2 linked regions of the Elephas maximus indicus genome follow. The protein of the gene in region 1 interacts with the protein of each later gene in a biochemical or structural test. Links are inferred from orthologs where the notes say so. Each region holds a gene or a part of one and is shown on either strand. Other genes may lie near its edges. The genes, in order: GABBR2 and KCTD12.

The links.
Region 2: the proteins of GABBR2 (region 1) and KCTD12 form a complex in vitro, tested with the Homo sapiens proteins (2 studies listed by BioGRID). The link is inferred for Elephas maximus indicus from reciprocal best matches to the Homo sapiens genes GABBR2 and KCTD12.

What each region holds. Positions count from the first base shown.
Region 1 is NC_064827.1:48,601,721-48,609,773, forward strand, and holds the start of GABBR2 (gamma-aminobutyric acid type B receptor subunit 2), read right to left. Parts: upstream 3,281-8,053; 5' UTR 3,229-3,280; coding exon 2,908-3,228; intron 1-2,907. UniProt on the Homo sapiens protein: Component of a heterodimeric G-protein coupled receptor for GABA, formed by GABBR1 and GABBR2. Within the heterodimeric GABA receptor, only GABBR1 seems to bind agonists, while GABBR2 mediates coupling to G proteins.
Region 2 is NC_064832.1:70,016,902-70,025,093, forward strand, and holds KCTD12 (BTB/POZ domain-containing protein KCTD12), read right to left. Parts: upstream 2,846-8,192; 5' UTR 2,602-2,845; coding exon 1,624-2,601; 3' UTR 653-1,623; downstream 1-652. UniProt on the Homo sapiens protein: Auxiliary subunit of GABA-B receptors that determine the pharmacology and kinetics of the receptor response. Increases agonist potency and markedly alter the G-protein signaling of the receptors by accelerating onset and promoting desensitization.

The sequences.
Region 1 (8,053 bases):
AGATTAATTCATTCCTTGCTAAATCACCATCTCCTTGCAGGCTGTGTGGACAAAGGTCCATTCTGGCTGTCAACAGTCACTGGTCATTGACTGGCAGCAAATGTCAGCAAAGCCAGCCAAAACCTGCTCACCACATCCATCCTGTGTTCAAGTCTATGGACAAGTGACACAGCCAGCAAGTCGTTAGGTGGTACACACCATCCACAAAGATACCTGATCTGAAAAACAAACAAAAAACAGGCCCCCAGCACTCCTTGGATTGCTGTGGATCTTGCTGCAAATATCCCAGGCTGCTCCTTCTCTCCTTCCGGCTCAGAGAGTGCGTCTCTCCCGTAAAGGCGAAGCCACTTGGGAAAAAATTAAATAATTATATCACCTGGACATTCTCCTAAATGTGACACCTCCTGACAGAAGACAACATACTTAATTGTAAAAGAATTCACTTTTTTTCTGATAACTTCACTGACTTCGTAAGATTTCAAAGGCTGGAAAAACAAATAAATAGTCCTCGTGTTTTGGCTTGACCATTTTATCACATCTTAAACTACAATGTCTTACTTGTGAATCCATGCCAGAAGAAAATGAAGGAAGGGAGGCAGGACACATTTATTTAGTGCTTACTGCATGCCAGACAGGGCACCGGCTGCTGAGCTTGGCAACACAACCCATTCTCCATTCTCCCCCGTTATCTCCCTTAAGCCTCCCGTTGCTACTCGGCAGAGTACATATAATAGTCCCATTTTTTCAGCTGCGGAAATATAGGCTTAGGGAGATTAAACACCTAGCCCAGTGTCGCCCACTGGGAAAGTAGCCAGTTCCTGACTAGAACCCAGGTACCACCTATGCCAAAGCCCAAGCTCTGTGACCCTTCCTGGCCTTCAGAAGACTAGAGGCGTTTTTCTGTTTGCACGGAGCTGAGATTATCCTCTGCACTCCTTCCTACTGTTTCTTACATATCCCGATGGAATGAAGCGCCTTCTGAGTGCCTCATCCTCTTGATTTGAGGCCCTCTCACTCAGAAAGTCATCCAGACACACTTGAAAAATAAAACGTAAAAGGTTCCACCCACACCCTGAAACCAACCATACATCTCCTTGCTAACACAAACAGGATGCATAATATGAAATCTCTTTCAGGGAAGCTTTCTAACACCCAATAAACTGATGATGAAAACAGTATGCAGTTGACAGTATGTGGTGATGATGCCAGCGGGGCTGCCCCGTCTACATGTTTTTGTCTCCCAAGAACTGGCTCTTCAGTGTCCCTTTCAGAAGAATACAAGTGGAAGCAACAGAGAAACAGTACCCAGAAGACATGCCTCCCTGTGTCTGCACTGCTCACTCCACTTACGTCTGCAGGACAAGCACACCAGAGAACATGAAACGTTGTGTAGAGATGAGGACAATATGCATGTCACTCAAATGATTCCACACCCGGGTATGCCCTGCACAGCACCCAGCCTGCATTCTCCCAGGGCAGAGGACACCTCTCTGCCTGCAGCAGCCTGCACGCCCGCCACCAAATGCCACCCATTCCTTCACCTTTTATTTACAGCGCAGAGCAGGCTGGTTCATCAGTGGAGGGGGGAGGAGGGGGAATAAGATGCAATTCAGATTTCTGCTCTTTCTCCGGAGACATAAAAAGAGGAGGGCTGCGCGATCAGCGCGGTAACACGACCCTCCTCCTCAAAAGGGTCTGCCCCTTAGCTTGAGCATTAATGCCCGGAGAGCCCTGGGAAGCTGGGGTCAAGCCCAGCGCCTTGGCCCGGCTTGGCGCGGTGGAAGAGGCGCCAACCAAACGTACTGCACAGGAAATCACTGCCCCCTTCAGGCCGCGTCTCAGACCCCGTACTGGAAGCATAGGGGCTCCCCCTGTCCGGAAAAACTCGCAAACCCGACCTCGCGCGGCCGGCGACCGCTCCTCACAGCCCCCTCAGCGCATCCCATTCCCCTGGCTAGCGGTAAAGGTCCGCGCTGGGGCTGCGGCGGAACCCAAGCCAAGGGCGTAAGGAGAGGGCTTGGGATGGGAAGTTCTCGGCTCTCCAGCTCGGCTTAGAAAAGGAGGCCGGGAGAGGAAGCCACTGCTGCGCTCCAAGTCCGTGCTCTAGCTAGTAGGACGCTGCACAAGTCTGCGCCCGGAGAAACTGCGCCTTCAGCCGCCGGACCAACAGCAGCGGCGCGGCGGGACACCTCGCGCCTCCGGGCGAGACCTGCTTGGGACACTCCCTGACCAACTAACCCAAGGGGGCGTCTCTTCATAAAACCGCTCGGCCTACAGGCAGCCGGGCACATCCAGGGGGTAGCACTGCAGAGCCGGCGGCCCCTCACCTGCCGGCGCTGTAAGGGCTCCGAGCTGCTGGCGCGCACCACGCTCCCAGCCCTGCTGCGCGCTCGGGCCCCTGGAGTGCGGGAGCTCTCCAGACCTCTTAGCGCAGCTCGGCTCTCACAATCGCCCGCGGGCAAGCTCGCGGCCCCTCCAGCCCGGGGTGGCCCAGTTTGCAGTCAGTGCACCCACCTATTCTTCCCACCCGCCACCCCAAAGCCCCACGAGCGAATGGAACTTGGGCAGGGGCAACCAATGCAGGCCTTTGGGGGTCCAGCCCCAGCCTACTCCACTCCTTCTTCTGCGGTAAAGGAGACTCTAGTCTTCTATTCAACAACCCCACACACATACACACACGATCCCTGAGGAGAATATTGGGCAAGCTTTGGTACCAGCTGTGCCAAGGGGTACCTGGCCCAGGAGGACCCCGGCGGGACGAGCACTGAGCACCAGCCCGTCGTGTCCTCAGCAGCCGCGGGTCAATCCGGGCTTTGGTCAAGGGCCGGGCGCCTGACTCTGTCCCCACCCCACACCCCATTCCACTGTCCTCCGGATCCCCGACGGCGCGGACGGCCGGACACTCACCTCCGTGTCGTAGAGACGCAGGTCGAGAAAGTAGGGGCGCAGGAGCGACTCATTGCGGATCTGCTCGATGGCCAGTTCCACGGCAGGGAGCACGCCGCGCCCGATGCTGCCCTTGGCCACCTCCTTGGTGAGCGGCATGAGGCCCATGATGGAGAGCGGCGGGCTGCTGGGCGGCGGCCGGGGGGCGCCCCGCGCCCAGCCCCAGGCCCCAGGTGCCAGAGGCAGCAGCAAGGGCAACAGCAGGAGCAGCAGGAGGCGTGCGGGCGGCGGTGGCGGCGACGGCGGCGGCCCGGGCTGCCCGGAGCTCCTCGGAGAAGCCATGCCGCGCCGCGGGCTGCGGACGCCAGCTCACTCGGCCCGCATGGCCTGCCCTGGCCCGCCGCCCCGCGCCAAGCTCTCCCCGCGGCGCCCGCGCAATGGCGCCGGCCCGGCCCGGGCTCTGGCTCGGGCTCCCGCTCGGCTCAGAACGGCCGCGGCAGCGGCGGCGGCGGCGGCGGCAGCAGCGCCGGTGACGGATCAATCACGCCGGGAAGGGGTGGGAGCGAGCGGAGTGCGGGAGGCGGGGAGCGAACGAGCAAACGCGGAAAGGGGGGCCGGCGTCTCCGCGCGCCTCTCTCCGGCGCGGCCGCCCCGCACCGGGCCGCCTCCGCCCGCCCCCGTGCGCGCTCTGCGCTGCTCTCCCGCCCGGAGCTGCTCGGCGGCCGCCCCTGGAGCCCGGCCGGGGGAGGGCGAGCGGCAGGAAACGCGGGAGGCGAAGGCGCGGCTGCTCAGCGGCGGCTCGGGCCGCCTCGGGGGACAGGGATGGGCCGTGCGCGCCAGGGGAGGGGGAGGCGCCGGCGCTGGCTCTGCGGCGACCGCGGGGAGGGCCGCCTTCCCCGCACACGCACACTAGCGCCCCGGCCCTCAGCTGCGCTGGCTGCCGCTGCCCACCGACCGCCAGGAACCTGAGTGCCCGGGGACGGAGAGCCGGGACGAGAACCGCGCTGTGGCACACGCAGTGGCTGCCACCGCTTCACCGAGCTCTTCCTGTGGCACCTGCAAGGTGGTTTGGGGCTGGTTCTCAGAGGTCTAGCCGGAAAGGTCTGGGCTGGAGAGTACGCCACGGAGGCGTCCTAGAAATACCTGCAACCTACGCTCTCCTTCCCTGCACGGGCGCCCGGACTGAGCTCATATGAACGGCCGCCGAAGACCGCCGCCAGCGTTCGAACGCCGCACAGCGCTAGGCTGGCGGGCCTTTGGGGCCTGGCTGGGACCCCCACTGGACAGAGCAGCCTCTCTCTGCCAACCCGGGCGAGGCGGAGGTCCGCACCTGTGTGCGCTACCGCCCCCTCCAGGCATATGACCTTCCCTGGTACCCACTCTCACAGAACCCCGCCCTAGAATTCTCCCTCGGGTGGAAGCATTGTCCTCAGGCTAGAGCGGGGTCCGAGAGCCCCCGGCCTTGGCACTCTTTCTGCCAGGTCACACTGAATGCCCTGGCTAACTGTAGTCAGAGCAATCCTGACCAGATGTGTGTCTTTGTGCCTTTCAGTACTTGGAGAATGGCAGTCGTGGTCATTAAAATATAAAATCCCAAGGGATGATTATTGAGGGGGACACACGAGGACATTAAATCAGAAAACATCCTGGAGCCTGAGGCAAGCATTGTGGGCCATATCCGTGACCTTGTAATGGTAGGAATTTAACCTTCACTGAGCACTTACTGTATGCCAACACTGGTTTTAGTGCTTTACTGGCCTCCTAATGTAGTCCTCACAGCCACCCTGTGAAGTAAGCACTGTGTTTATCACCCTTAGTTTACAGGCGAATAAAGTGAAGCTCAGAGAGGTGTCTTAACTTGCCAAAGTACACAGAGCTACTGAGGGAGGACTGGACCCAGAGCCAGCAGCTGCACCATACAGAGTGCAGTGTGAGCCCCAATGGGGTGCATGGAGTTTCCCCTGATGAGGGGCACTGCCTTGACTCTCCATTGCTCTGCACCTTCATTCCCTCTGATATGTGGTGAGGGAGTTGGACCAGATGGTGTCCACAGACTCACTCACCTCTGCTCTTTTGCAGTCCTGACGAAGCCAGTTTTGGAGAGAGAAGGTATGGATGGGGTGAGGATCATACTTACTCATAAGGGCAGTTCCTTCTCTTTGGGGAAATCTTTTGAGCATAGGCGCCCAAGAGGCAACCTACATACAGTAGAAAGAACTTCTCACTTGAGGCAGATAACATGAGCTCAAATCCAAGCTTGGCTACTTTGGGCCTCAACTTTCCCATCCATAAAATGGGAGGAACGGCAATTCTGATTCTGATTCTAGAACAGCCCTCACTTACTCAAGGACACAGCACCTCCAAACACACCTTTGGTGTATAATAAAAACAAAGATGGTATGAGTCCTACCAGTACTACTCAAGCATTTCCAAATAACATTCATTTATTCTTTTCTTTACTGAAGTGTTGTTGTTAGCTGCCAACTCATAGTGACAGAGTACAACTGCCGCATAGGGTTTTCTAGGCTGTAGTCTTTACATGAGCAGATCACCAGGTCTTTCCCCCTCAGAGCTGCTGGGTGAGTTCGAACAGCCAACCTTTTGGTTACCAGCTATGCGCTTAACCATTGCACCGCCATGGCTCACTGGAGTGTTAATGAGCACATTTAATCAGGTCTTTACCTTCATTGCTTTAGTAGATTACTGAAGGAGGAGGCTTCACTTTCAGGAAGACAGGAGGAGCTGCCCATGTGTCTCCCTACTTCCCCTGGTAACTTGCAGTGGGGTTTTGAGCACATATCTGTTTTAGCACCCCCATTTTGGGAAGTAGGAAGTAATTCTAAATTATTATTATGTAATATATATTTTTGTAATTATAAATGTTTATTAATCAGAGACAAGGGGAATTGCCATTCTTTATCTGTAAACCTATTTTGAGCTCCTTTGTGGAATTGTTACTGTTAAATGTTTTAGTGACTGTAATTACTGATTTTAAAAAATAATAACAACGGCTAGTCTTTTTTTTTTTTTTTTAGGGTCCACTGAAAGCCAGACATTGTGCCAGATGCTATACACACATTTACTCACCTAATTTCACTTAATCTTGACATCATTCCTATGCAGAAGGTAATATTATGCCCACTTTACAGATGAGAATATTGAGACTCAGGGAAGCTATGTGATTGCCCAAGGACACATAGGTCAAGTGGGGAAGCCAGGCTTGCAGCCTAGGTATGCATGCATCCCTTCTCAAGGACCTGAGCAGGCTATTTCCCCATCCCCCCAACACAGAATCTCTGCTGTAACCTTCCTGTCATGTGGCTCGCCCCTGGGGAGAACCCAAGGCAGACCTGGGGTGGGACAGGGGCAGCCCTGAATCGCAGGCTGAGTTATCAGAAAGTGTAAAAGCAGCAGAGGCTGAGCCCAACTCCTGGAGAGTACCTTGGACAGTGCCTGGGAAACCAGGCCAAATTCTCCCAGCTCCACTCTTTGGGTTTCTGCAGATACCACCTCGCAGGCTGCACTTAGCACTTCCTAGCCCCCAAGCTGGAGGGATTGCTTGAGCAGAACTCACCTAAGCATTTCTGCCAAAAAAACCATCCAAAGGACAGTGTAATCCCCAGACGCTCACCTGGTGTCTCACTTGCCATCACAGCTATCCCCTAGTCATATGCTCCTGCCACGTGCCATTCCTTAACTCCTCGGCTCAGGTTACTGAGTGAGCATTTTCACTTTTTTTTTTTCTTCTTCTTTTTTTCCCTTAATCATTTGTGTTTTCCTTATAGGCTGTGCCAATATGGAGTATCCACTGATGCCTACGTCTGGGAATGAATTGAAAGTTGGGATAACTTTGCCTAACATTTACAAAGAGGCCGAGGGCTCTGCCTGATAGCTTCAGCCCCTCTGTCCCATCATGGGTTGTCCCGGCCCCGAGCCATGTGGCCTGGACCAGCCCTGACCTGAAGCATGCCTCATCTCCATCCATCTGTCTCCAGGCCAACCTCTGATCTCACACCCCACTTCTGGTGCCCAGGCATCCCTCTGGTTCCAGGATCCTACCTTGCATTCCAGTGTTGGTAACTGAGTTCCTGGTGTGCTCCCTAGGTGTGAGTTCTTGCCTCTGTCATCGGCCTAGAATCCATGCTCCTCTAGAGCTTGAGTCCAGCTTCATGCCTTCTAATAATCATTCCTCCAACTGATGTTTTCAAGGGCCTCCTACATGCTGAGCACTGTTCTCAGAGTTGGGGCACAGGAGTGAACAAACCAGACCCACATCCTTGCCCTGGTAGAACTGACATTCCAGTGGGAGAAGAGAAACAATAAATAAAAAGAATAATAAGTAAAATTTTTAGTTTGTCAGTTTAGGAAAAGTGCTGGGTGAACAATAAACCAGGGAAGAATTTAGAGGCTGGCAGGGTGGGGCTGCGTTTTGCAATAGGGAGGTCAGGGAAGGACACACTGAGGTGGCTTTTGAACAAAACCCTAACGGAAGTCAGTACGCTAGACATGCAGTGTCCCCTGCAGAGGAACAGCAAGGGCAGAGACCGGAGTGTGCCTGGTGTGTTCAAGGAACCATCAGGAAGCTGGTGTGGCTGAAGCAGAGTGAGCAAGGGGAAGAACTGTGGCTGGTAGTTGCTGTCTAGTTGGCTCCAACTCATGGCGACCTCGTGTGTAACAGAAAGAAATGTTGCCTGGTCCTGCGCCATCTTCATGATTGTGTTATGTTTGAGTTGTTCAGGGGAAAAGTAGTAGGACCCCAGGTCAAAGGCGGACCCAATCATATAGGGCCTCAGCACTGGGAGGTCTTTGGATTGTATGCCACAAAATGGGGAATGATTGGAGGGTTACGAGCAGAGCCACGACACGATCTGATATTTTTTAACAGGATCACTGGGTGGAGAACCGTTGGTAGGAGGAAAGGGCAGGAGCAGGAGACCAGTTAGGAGGCTATTATAATCAGCCACGGATGGTGGGAAGAACCAAGGCGTATGCAGTGGAGATGGTGAGAATGGGCTAGATTAATAATCTGTCTTCTTATTAATGGAAATACAGTGTATTGGCAGATACCAAGTCCCAGGACTGTGGTAAACACTTGATTCCCAAGAGCTTACCTACCTTACAAGAGACATAGTGGAGACTTAAAAAGCAAATGCTCAGGGCTGTCCCC
Region 2 (8,192 bases), on another chromosome or scaffold:
GTCTCCTTCGGTTACTGCTGTATTTTCCTAAAACACTGTTTTATTGCTCAGCTCACTTTTAAGTACTTAATTTGCCTTCACTGAAAAATATTTCACTTTACAGCTCTCTACAGATGGGCAGCCCTTGTTGCTTAATTCTCTACAGCTCTGGCACTCAAAAGGATTCCACCTTAACTTCAAACCACTGCATGAAAGAGGAGTGTCAAGTAGCATTTTCTGGTTTTCAGATTTGCTCAGCCGTCAAACATACTGAGTTTAGGGAAAATAAGGACTTTTAATAAGAGATCTTAAGTCTGAGTAACCAAAATCAAACGTATGTTGCTCAAGTAAATCGATTTTACAATCAGGATTTATATTCACAGAGAAAACAGAGTTCAAATACTAAAACACTACTGGGTAACTCTTTGGTTAGGTTATAAGTATCTGTAACTTCTAAGCTTAGGATTCAAAACGGTTACCTCAATAACTGCCAGCTAAGAGTAAATACTGTTATTCATTTTTATAAAACACTTTGCATGTTTTTGTCCTATTTGATGTTTTAAAATAAAACACATGTACCCAAACGGATGGTACAAACTTACAAATTTCAAATAATAAATGAGTATGTCTGCTCTTCCCTTCCCACCCTTCCTACCCTCCTCCTTCCCTCCCAATCCCACCCCCAAGTCTTATGAGCTAAGAATGATCCTACTGCCATTCACTGCAAGAATATGGGCTTTCCTAATACCCACAACGTGCATGACTACCCAGCTCTGTTTTAATCACTGCCAGGTGGCTTTCTGTGGGGCATGGCGACCTGGGCAGACCTGCCCCCTTCTGCAGCAAAGCTCTTTCTCGCTCTTGCCAAAAAACTGTCATGTCAACCAGAGCCGACCCAAGTCCTGGCGATAAGCCAACGAGAAAGGGCGCCTCCACAGGCAGGAGGGTCCCTTTCTGCAAGTTTAAGTCACAAGCGAAGATCTTTCATTTCATTCTGTACTGGAAAAGATCCGATCCTTCACCGTGCCAGCACTAGATTCTTCTCCTACTTTTATCTGTAACTTTTCAAAACTTCACTCATTTACAGTCACTGAACTGCTTCCATATGGTCTTAATTCCAGAATCCCAGTTTTTCACTCAACCTTCTAAATATCTACCTTTAAAGAGAATCAAAAAAAGGCTCCAATGACCTTTTAGAACACTAACTTCCCCAGTGTTATCAATTCCGATCTCTTGAGTCATAAGGTTCAAGAAGATTTCAGGGAATCTCTTCACGCTGGACACGTCCTGATTTTGAACGATCCAGTCATTCCTAGGTACTTGGTGATTTGGGGCCACGCTGCCCCACTCCATCCAGATTAAGGGGCAGTCTGGGGGAGGGGTGGTTTGGGGTACGGGATGGAGGAAGCATGGGTTAAGGGGGTATATCTGGGCTCCCTCGGTTGGAGGGGTCCAAAGAAAATGAAGAAGCCGAGAGGGTTTTCGCCTGCAGGTTCTAGAATTGAGGGTAGAGGGGACTGGCCCCAGCTCCTGGGGGTGAACGACAGAGGGACGGGAGGGAAGAGGTGCTATAACCATCTCTAAGACAGGGAAGGGGGGGGGGGACGAGAGCTGGAGTCGCGGGGCGGGGGGGAGCTAGGGAGCTCACTCCCTGCAGAAGACGTACTCGGTGTAGCTGGTCCAGATCTTGTCTTCGCTCTGGTCAGTGCTGCTGGCGAAGGCGCAGGTGCCCGTGGAGCTGCACGCCACCATGTGGAAGCCCGACTCCGACAGCTTATCAAAGGCCTGCTCCAGGAAGTTAAATTTGAGATAATAGCGCGAGGTGTAGCGCTCCGGGGGCCGGTCTGGGTCCCGGCTCTCGTTCAGGGTGTCCCCGAACACCTCCTTGGCCAGCGAGGTCTTGCCGCACACAGTGATGCGTGCCACCCGCCGGAACTTGGCGTCTGCCTGCGCGTCCCGCCCGATGGTATACGAGCCGCGGTAGCCGATGGTGATGTAGCCTGAGCGCCGGCTGCCGTCCAGCGACTGGGATGGTGTGAGCAGCGGGCCCGCTGCGCCCCCGGACGGGCTGCGGCTAGCCAGCTCCAGCGTGGGCGACGGCGCCCCGGCTGAGGAGCCTTCCTGCTGCTCCGGCTCCGCGTAGCCGAGCTGCAGCAGCTCGTCGCCCAGCGAGCCCTCCTTAGGCATCCCGCGCCGCGGGTGCGGCGGCCCCAGACCGGGTTGCTGGGGCGCCCCGAGGCGGCGCACGAGCTCCGGCAGCTCGAAGTACTCGGCCTCGCGCTGCAGCCGGCTGCGCTCGGGGAAGTAGTCGGGCAGGACGAGCTGCAAGTCCCGCAGGTAATCCAGGATGTAGCGGAAGAGGAAGCCGTCCCGGTCCAGAAAGAAGCGGCCTTTGCTGTCCCGGGCCAGCTCCTGCGGCTGCTGCTGCGTGAACATGCGCCAGAGAAGCGAGTCGGGCACCGAAACCACCGTACAGCGCCGGGTCACATACACCTGGCCCCCCACGTTCAGCTCCACGATGTCGGGGAAGAGCCCCGGCTCTGCCGAGGAGGACGAAGAGCCGCTACCGCCCCCGCCGCCGCCCCCGTTGGGTAATCCACGCGTGCTGTCCGCCAGAGCCATGGCAAAGAGGTGGCTGGGCTGGGGCAGAGAAAGGGAGTGAGGCCACGCGCAGGAGCTGGAGCCGCCGTTCCCGGAGCCCCGGCGCCCGAACACTCGCTCAGCCCTGCGCCTCGGCCGCCGCCGCCGCCGCCGCCGAGAGCCGCGTGGAGCCGAGCGATACGAGCGCGCGGCTGTGCGCCCCCGTGCGCTCCACACGCTCCAGGCGAGTGCGGGTGGCGGCCGGCGCGCCGCTTAAGTAGAGCCTCCGCTAGGGCGCCGCGGCGCGCAGGAGGCGTAGGCGGCTGCGGAGCGGCGGAGCCTAGCTCCCCGGGCGGGGGAGGGGGAGGAGGGAGGCGGGAATTGATTTGCATCTTAAGCGCTGACGCTGCGCCCGGCTGCTGGCTCCACCCGGGTTCGCGCACCGCGGGGGCGACCCGGCCGGTCCCCGCCGCCCCGCTCCGCGTTCCAGCCCCTTCCCGCTCCCATCCAACTTTCTCATCCGAAGCGGACAAAACCTGGGATGGGGCGCTTTGGAAGGCAAATCTTTTGCCGGCGGGGCCGTCATTGCGCCCCCTGTCCCCCTAGCCCGCGCCCACTGCCCGCGTAGACTCTGAAAAGAGGATGTAAACTTTCGGGCTTGGCCCAGGGGAGTGGAAGTGCGTGGCCGCGTCCGGCGAGGCCGCCTGCGGAACTGGCCGCTTAAAAATAGTGGAGTCGTGTTGGTAGCGTAGTGGGTCGTCGTGTCGCTGCAAGTTCTCGAGAATAAAAGCCCCGGAGAGACTACGGGGCCGCGCCAGGACGGAGGCAGCCAGGTTTTGTTCGCGTTACTGAGGAGACTCGGAAGAAAAACTCTAGAAACCAAAAGCTAACCTCGGTATCTTGCCGCAGAACGCTCGTGGATAGTTCATTTTCCGGGTGCAGAAGAAACTCACTGGTTGGGAAACCTCAAAGGGGAGTAGGAAAAGAACTGAAATAGCAACAGGGGGAACTTGGATGAACTTTAGGGACGCGTTCCCCTGAGGGCGGCTCATGCATCCTCTTCCTCACAAAGCCTTGGAGGCTAGTCTGAAGAGATTGAGGATAGTGAGGCCGAGGGGTCCTTTTCAGCCCTGAGTGAATCATGCCTTAGAGCTTTTTCAATCAAGCCCCTAGATCTTTTTCGACGTGTTTATCCTCTCGCAGGAACGTCCAAGTTTCTCCGACCTCCAGCGCTCTTCAGTCATTTTTTTTTTCCAGTTAGGTCCAGGTTCCCTCCTCACAGGGCTTTTGACATTTGCAGGCCCTCTGCTTTGATCCCATCTCATCCTCTAACTCCTACTCCATATTCAGTTTCACCCTTTAGCCCACAGAACTCCTCTTTCCCTCCCCCCCTCCCGAAAGAAAAACCGTCCATGGCTTCCCAGGCGAGTGGGTCTTCCGCATTACCTAGAGCTCATCATTCTGAACTGTCGTAATTAGCAGTTGTTGTAGATTGAGCTATGCCCCCCCCCTCCGAGAAATGGGTGCTGTAAATAAATCCAATCCCCTATACCTGTGGTTGAAACCCTGGTCGGCACTTCAAATCCATCAGCCACACCTGGGAAACCCTATGGGGCAGTTCTGCTCTGTCCTATAGGATCCTTATAAGTCAGAATCAACTCCACGGGCAATGCGGTTTGGGGCTGTTTTTTTTTTAATACCAGGGGTTTTTCCCTTTGGGAATGTTTGTTATGTTAATGAGGCAGTATTAGTGTAGTGTGTATCTTAAATCAATCTCTCCTGATATAAAATGCAAGTTAAGCAAGCAAAGAAGCACGTGCGATTGCCAAGGAACCTAGGAATAGAAACTGAAAAGAGACGAGGACCTTCCCTCAGAGCAGACAGTGTGAGAGCCTTCCTTGAGAGCCAGCGGCCTGAAATTGGACTTTGAGCTTCCTGAACTGTGAGAAGATAAATTCCTATTCATCAAAGCCATGCACTGGTGTTACCGCAGCACTAGATAACTAAAGAGCGATTATCTGCTGACTTTGGTAAAAATCAGTGTTCCGGAGAACTGCAGACAGAAGCAAAGGAGAGGGTAGTGGAAGATGTTAAGAAGTCATCTGGTCCATGAAAATTTGTTGTGCACCTGGCATATTGGCCAGGCGTGGCACCAGGTAGTGAAGAATGCAAGGTTGAATAAGCCCCAAGACACTTTCAATGTGCCCAGTAGGCAAAGGGGCAGAGGTCTGAGCAGTTTTCAGATCAGTAGACTGTCAGTCCGGATAAAACTGTTGAGATATTTGTTCTTGATAACGTTTACCCTATTTTGCAACTACCCAGTGAGTTTTACAGTCTCCTCACGGATAAGTGTCATTTTCACTTGGAATTGTTTATGTCTGCTGTACAATTATTGCAGTCATGTCAGTGAGTGTACTGAAATTAAATCAAGCCCCCAATCAGCTCGTTTAATTGCAAGTATGGGTTTTGATACCAAATATATTTCACCACACTTTTTTGTTTTGTTCTTTGGGATAAAAGATGACACAAAAGTTTCAAGTTCCCATGCTGAATTTCTAGGTGGCTGTGCTTCTCTTTTTTCTACCAGTGTCACAGGCCTGACAAATACAGCCTCTTTTCTATAAATCCAAGAAGAGCCTTCTTTGTATCAATTCTGCACATATTTTTGTATTATTGCTTTTTTTCATTGTCTCAGCAAATCCTGTCAGCTGTGCCTTAAAAACACTTCCAGACTCTTAGCCTATCTCTCTAACTCCCTACTGTTCTACTAATAGGTCTGAACAGTCCCAGTAGGTTCCACCGTGGACCAAGACAACATCATCTCTTGCCTGAATTATTACACTGGTCTCCTATCTGGCTCTGCCTTTGCTGCTACAGTCTAGTTTCACCAGAACAAAAAAGGGGGATGCCATTACAGCCTAACTCAGATGATGTCACTCTTCTGGAACCCCCGCCCCAGTGGCTTCCCATCTCATGCAAGTGTTTGAAAATCAGAGTCTTTTCAGTGGCCTACAAGACTGTACATGATCAGAGCTGCCCCATGACCACCTCTCCGACCCATCCCCTACCATTTCCCCAGGATTTCACTGGTTTTAGCTACATTAGCCCCCTTACTGTCCTCCAGAGGAATCCCTGGGTGATGCGAATGGTTAAGTGCTGTAGTACTAGCTGAAAGCCTGGCAGTTCGAACCCACTCAGATGTGCCTTGGAAGACAGGCCCAGCAATCTAGTTCCGAAAGGTCACAGCCTTGAAAACCTTATGGAGCAGTTCTACTCTGCACACATGGGGTCACCATGAATCAGAATTGACTCAATGTCAACTAACAACAACTGTTCTCTAGGAGCCTTTGAACTTACTGTTCCCTTTGCCTAAAACACTCATCCCCTGATACCTCCCTCACCTTGTTCAGGTGCCTCTCTTCTCCCCTTCTTCAGGTCTCTACTGTGAGACCTTGCTTGGGTCACCCTGTTTAATATAGTGTAACCCCACCCAGGCAGCTTTCTCCCCTTTCCTGCTTCCATACTGGAGATTTTACTTGCTCATTTACTGTCTATTTCTGTGCATTAGGATATAAATTCCAAGAGTTCAGAGATTTTTGCCAGCTTAATTCCCTGCTGTATCCCCAGTGCCTAGAAGAGAGCTGTCATATAATAGGTGTTCAATTAATATCTGCTGTTCTACTAATAGGGAGCCCTGGTGGTGCTGTGGTTAAAGCGATTAGCTGCTGACCAAAAGGTCGGAGGTTCGAAACCACCAAAGGCTCTGTGGAAGAAAGATGTAGCTGCTTCCATAGAGATTTACAGCCTTGGAAACCTGTAGGGTTGCTATGAGTCTGAATTACCTCAATGGCAGTGGGTTCGGGTTTTGGGTTTTATTCTGCCAGTAGGTCCCAAATGGTTTGTGCTCAACTACTAACCTAAAGGTTGGTGGTTCAAACCCACCCAGCTGCACTGTGGAAGAAAGGCTTGGTGATTTGCTTTCATAAAGATTACAGACAAGGAAACCCTACAGAGCAGTTCTACTCTGTAACATATGAGATCACCATGAGTCAGAATCTCACCTATATAAGTGCTTGACATATATGAAGGCTTTTAATATTTATATGAGGTAGGTTCTATTATTTTCCCCACTTGATGTCAATGGGCTTGGTTTTGGGTTTTTCTTTCTTTTTTTTTTTTTGGTTCCTCCAGTATGTCTTAAGGGCCCACATGCAGTGGTTAAGAGTATGGTTGCTAGCCAAAGGGTCAGCAATTCGAATCCACTAGCCACTCCTTGGAAACCCTGTGGGGCAGTTCTGCTCTGTTCTGTAGAGTCTCTGTGGGTCAGAATTGACTTGACAGCAACAGGTTTTTCCTGAATTCCAGGCAATATGTTAACAAAAGGATCTCTGACCTCTTGGAGTTTCTAGTCTTGTGAGGAAGATAGATAGTAAACGTATAGATAAGCAGTCGCTTTTAAGTGATGATAAATGCTGCAAAGAAAATAAAATCCTTAAAAGGTGTAGAGGGACTGAGCGTGCGGATTCTACTGGATATGGAGTAGCTGGGAGAGGCCTCTCCATAAAAGTGATGTTTGAGCTGAGTGATGAAAAAGAGACAGCTGTGAGAAGCTCTGGAGGAAGAGCCTACCAGGTAGGGCAAAGAAAGTTAAGGGGGCCTGGGTTAAGAATGAGTTTAGTGTGTTTCACAGTAGAAGTTTATTGTATTCACCTGCTTGTATCCTGTGAATCCCCAAAGTACCCTTGAAGAGATCATGACAAGTCAAGTGTGACAGACACGGCGTGCTTATACACAAGCATTGTACTAGCAGCGAACTCCTGACATCCTCTACCTGTCGAGGTAACATATTCATCCACACGAGCTAGTCTGCTGCAGGAAAGCCTATCGGTATTTTTTTTATGAGAGCCCAAGTTGTGCCTGAAAGACATAATAGTGAATGAAAGCGGCAGTTCAATTATGGATTATGAAGAAGTAATCTTCTGACTTACTGATTTATTTTCTGTGTTCTGTTTCTTGTATATACATTAGTGTCAAGAAATTCAAGAAGAAATATTTAGGGCACTTAGATGCCAGGACTTGAGGGTCTGGGTATTCCTGGTGGAGGGGGTTATAATTCTTTAGCGTATCCAATATGTCAAATATGCTTCATTGGAGGGGGTGTCTGAGAATTTGGGAAACCTCTATCTCTGTATCCGGCCTCAACCCGGTTTCCAGTGATGGACGCATGAAGAACCATTGTTCTTTTTCAGGTAGCTCTTTGTACCTTCCTAAATAGGAGACAGTGGTTTCCTGGAATTACTCTGTCCTTTTGTCCTAAAGTACTGGAGACATCTGCAGGAACAAATTCTCATTTGATTTATATCTTCTCTCTCAACTACTGCCTTCTTTCCCAGCCAGCTCCCTTCCCCCTTCCTTGCCGCCACCAAAACCAAAATAAAAACCTAACCCATTGCCATCAAGTCAATTCCGACTTGTGTATCAGAGGACAGCTGTGCTCCAGAGGGTATTCAGTGCTGATTCTTCTCCCTCCCACCCCAGAAGTAGATCTCCAGGCTTTTCTTACTAGGCTTCTCTGGGTGGGTTCGAATCACCAGCCTTTTGGGTAGTGGTTGGGCGTGTTAACCATTTGCACC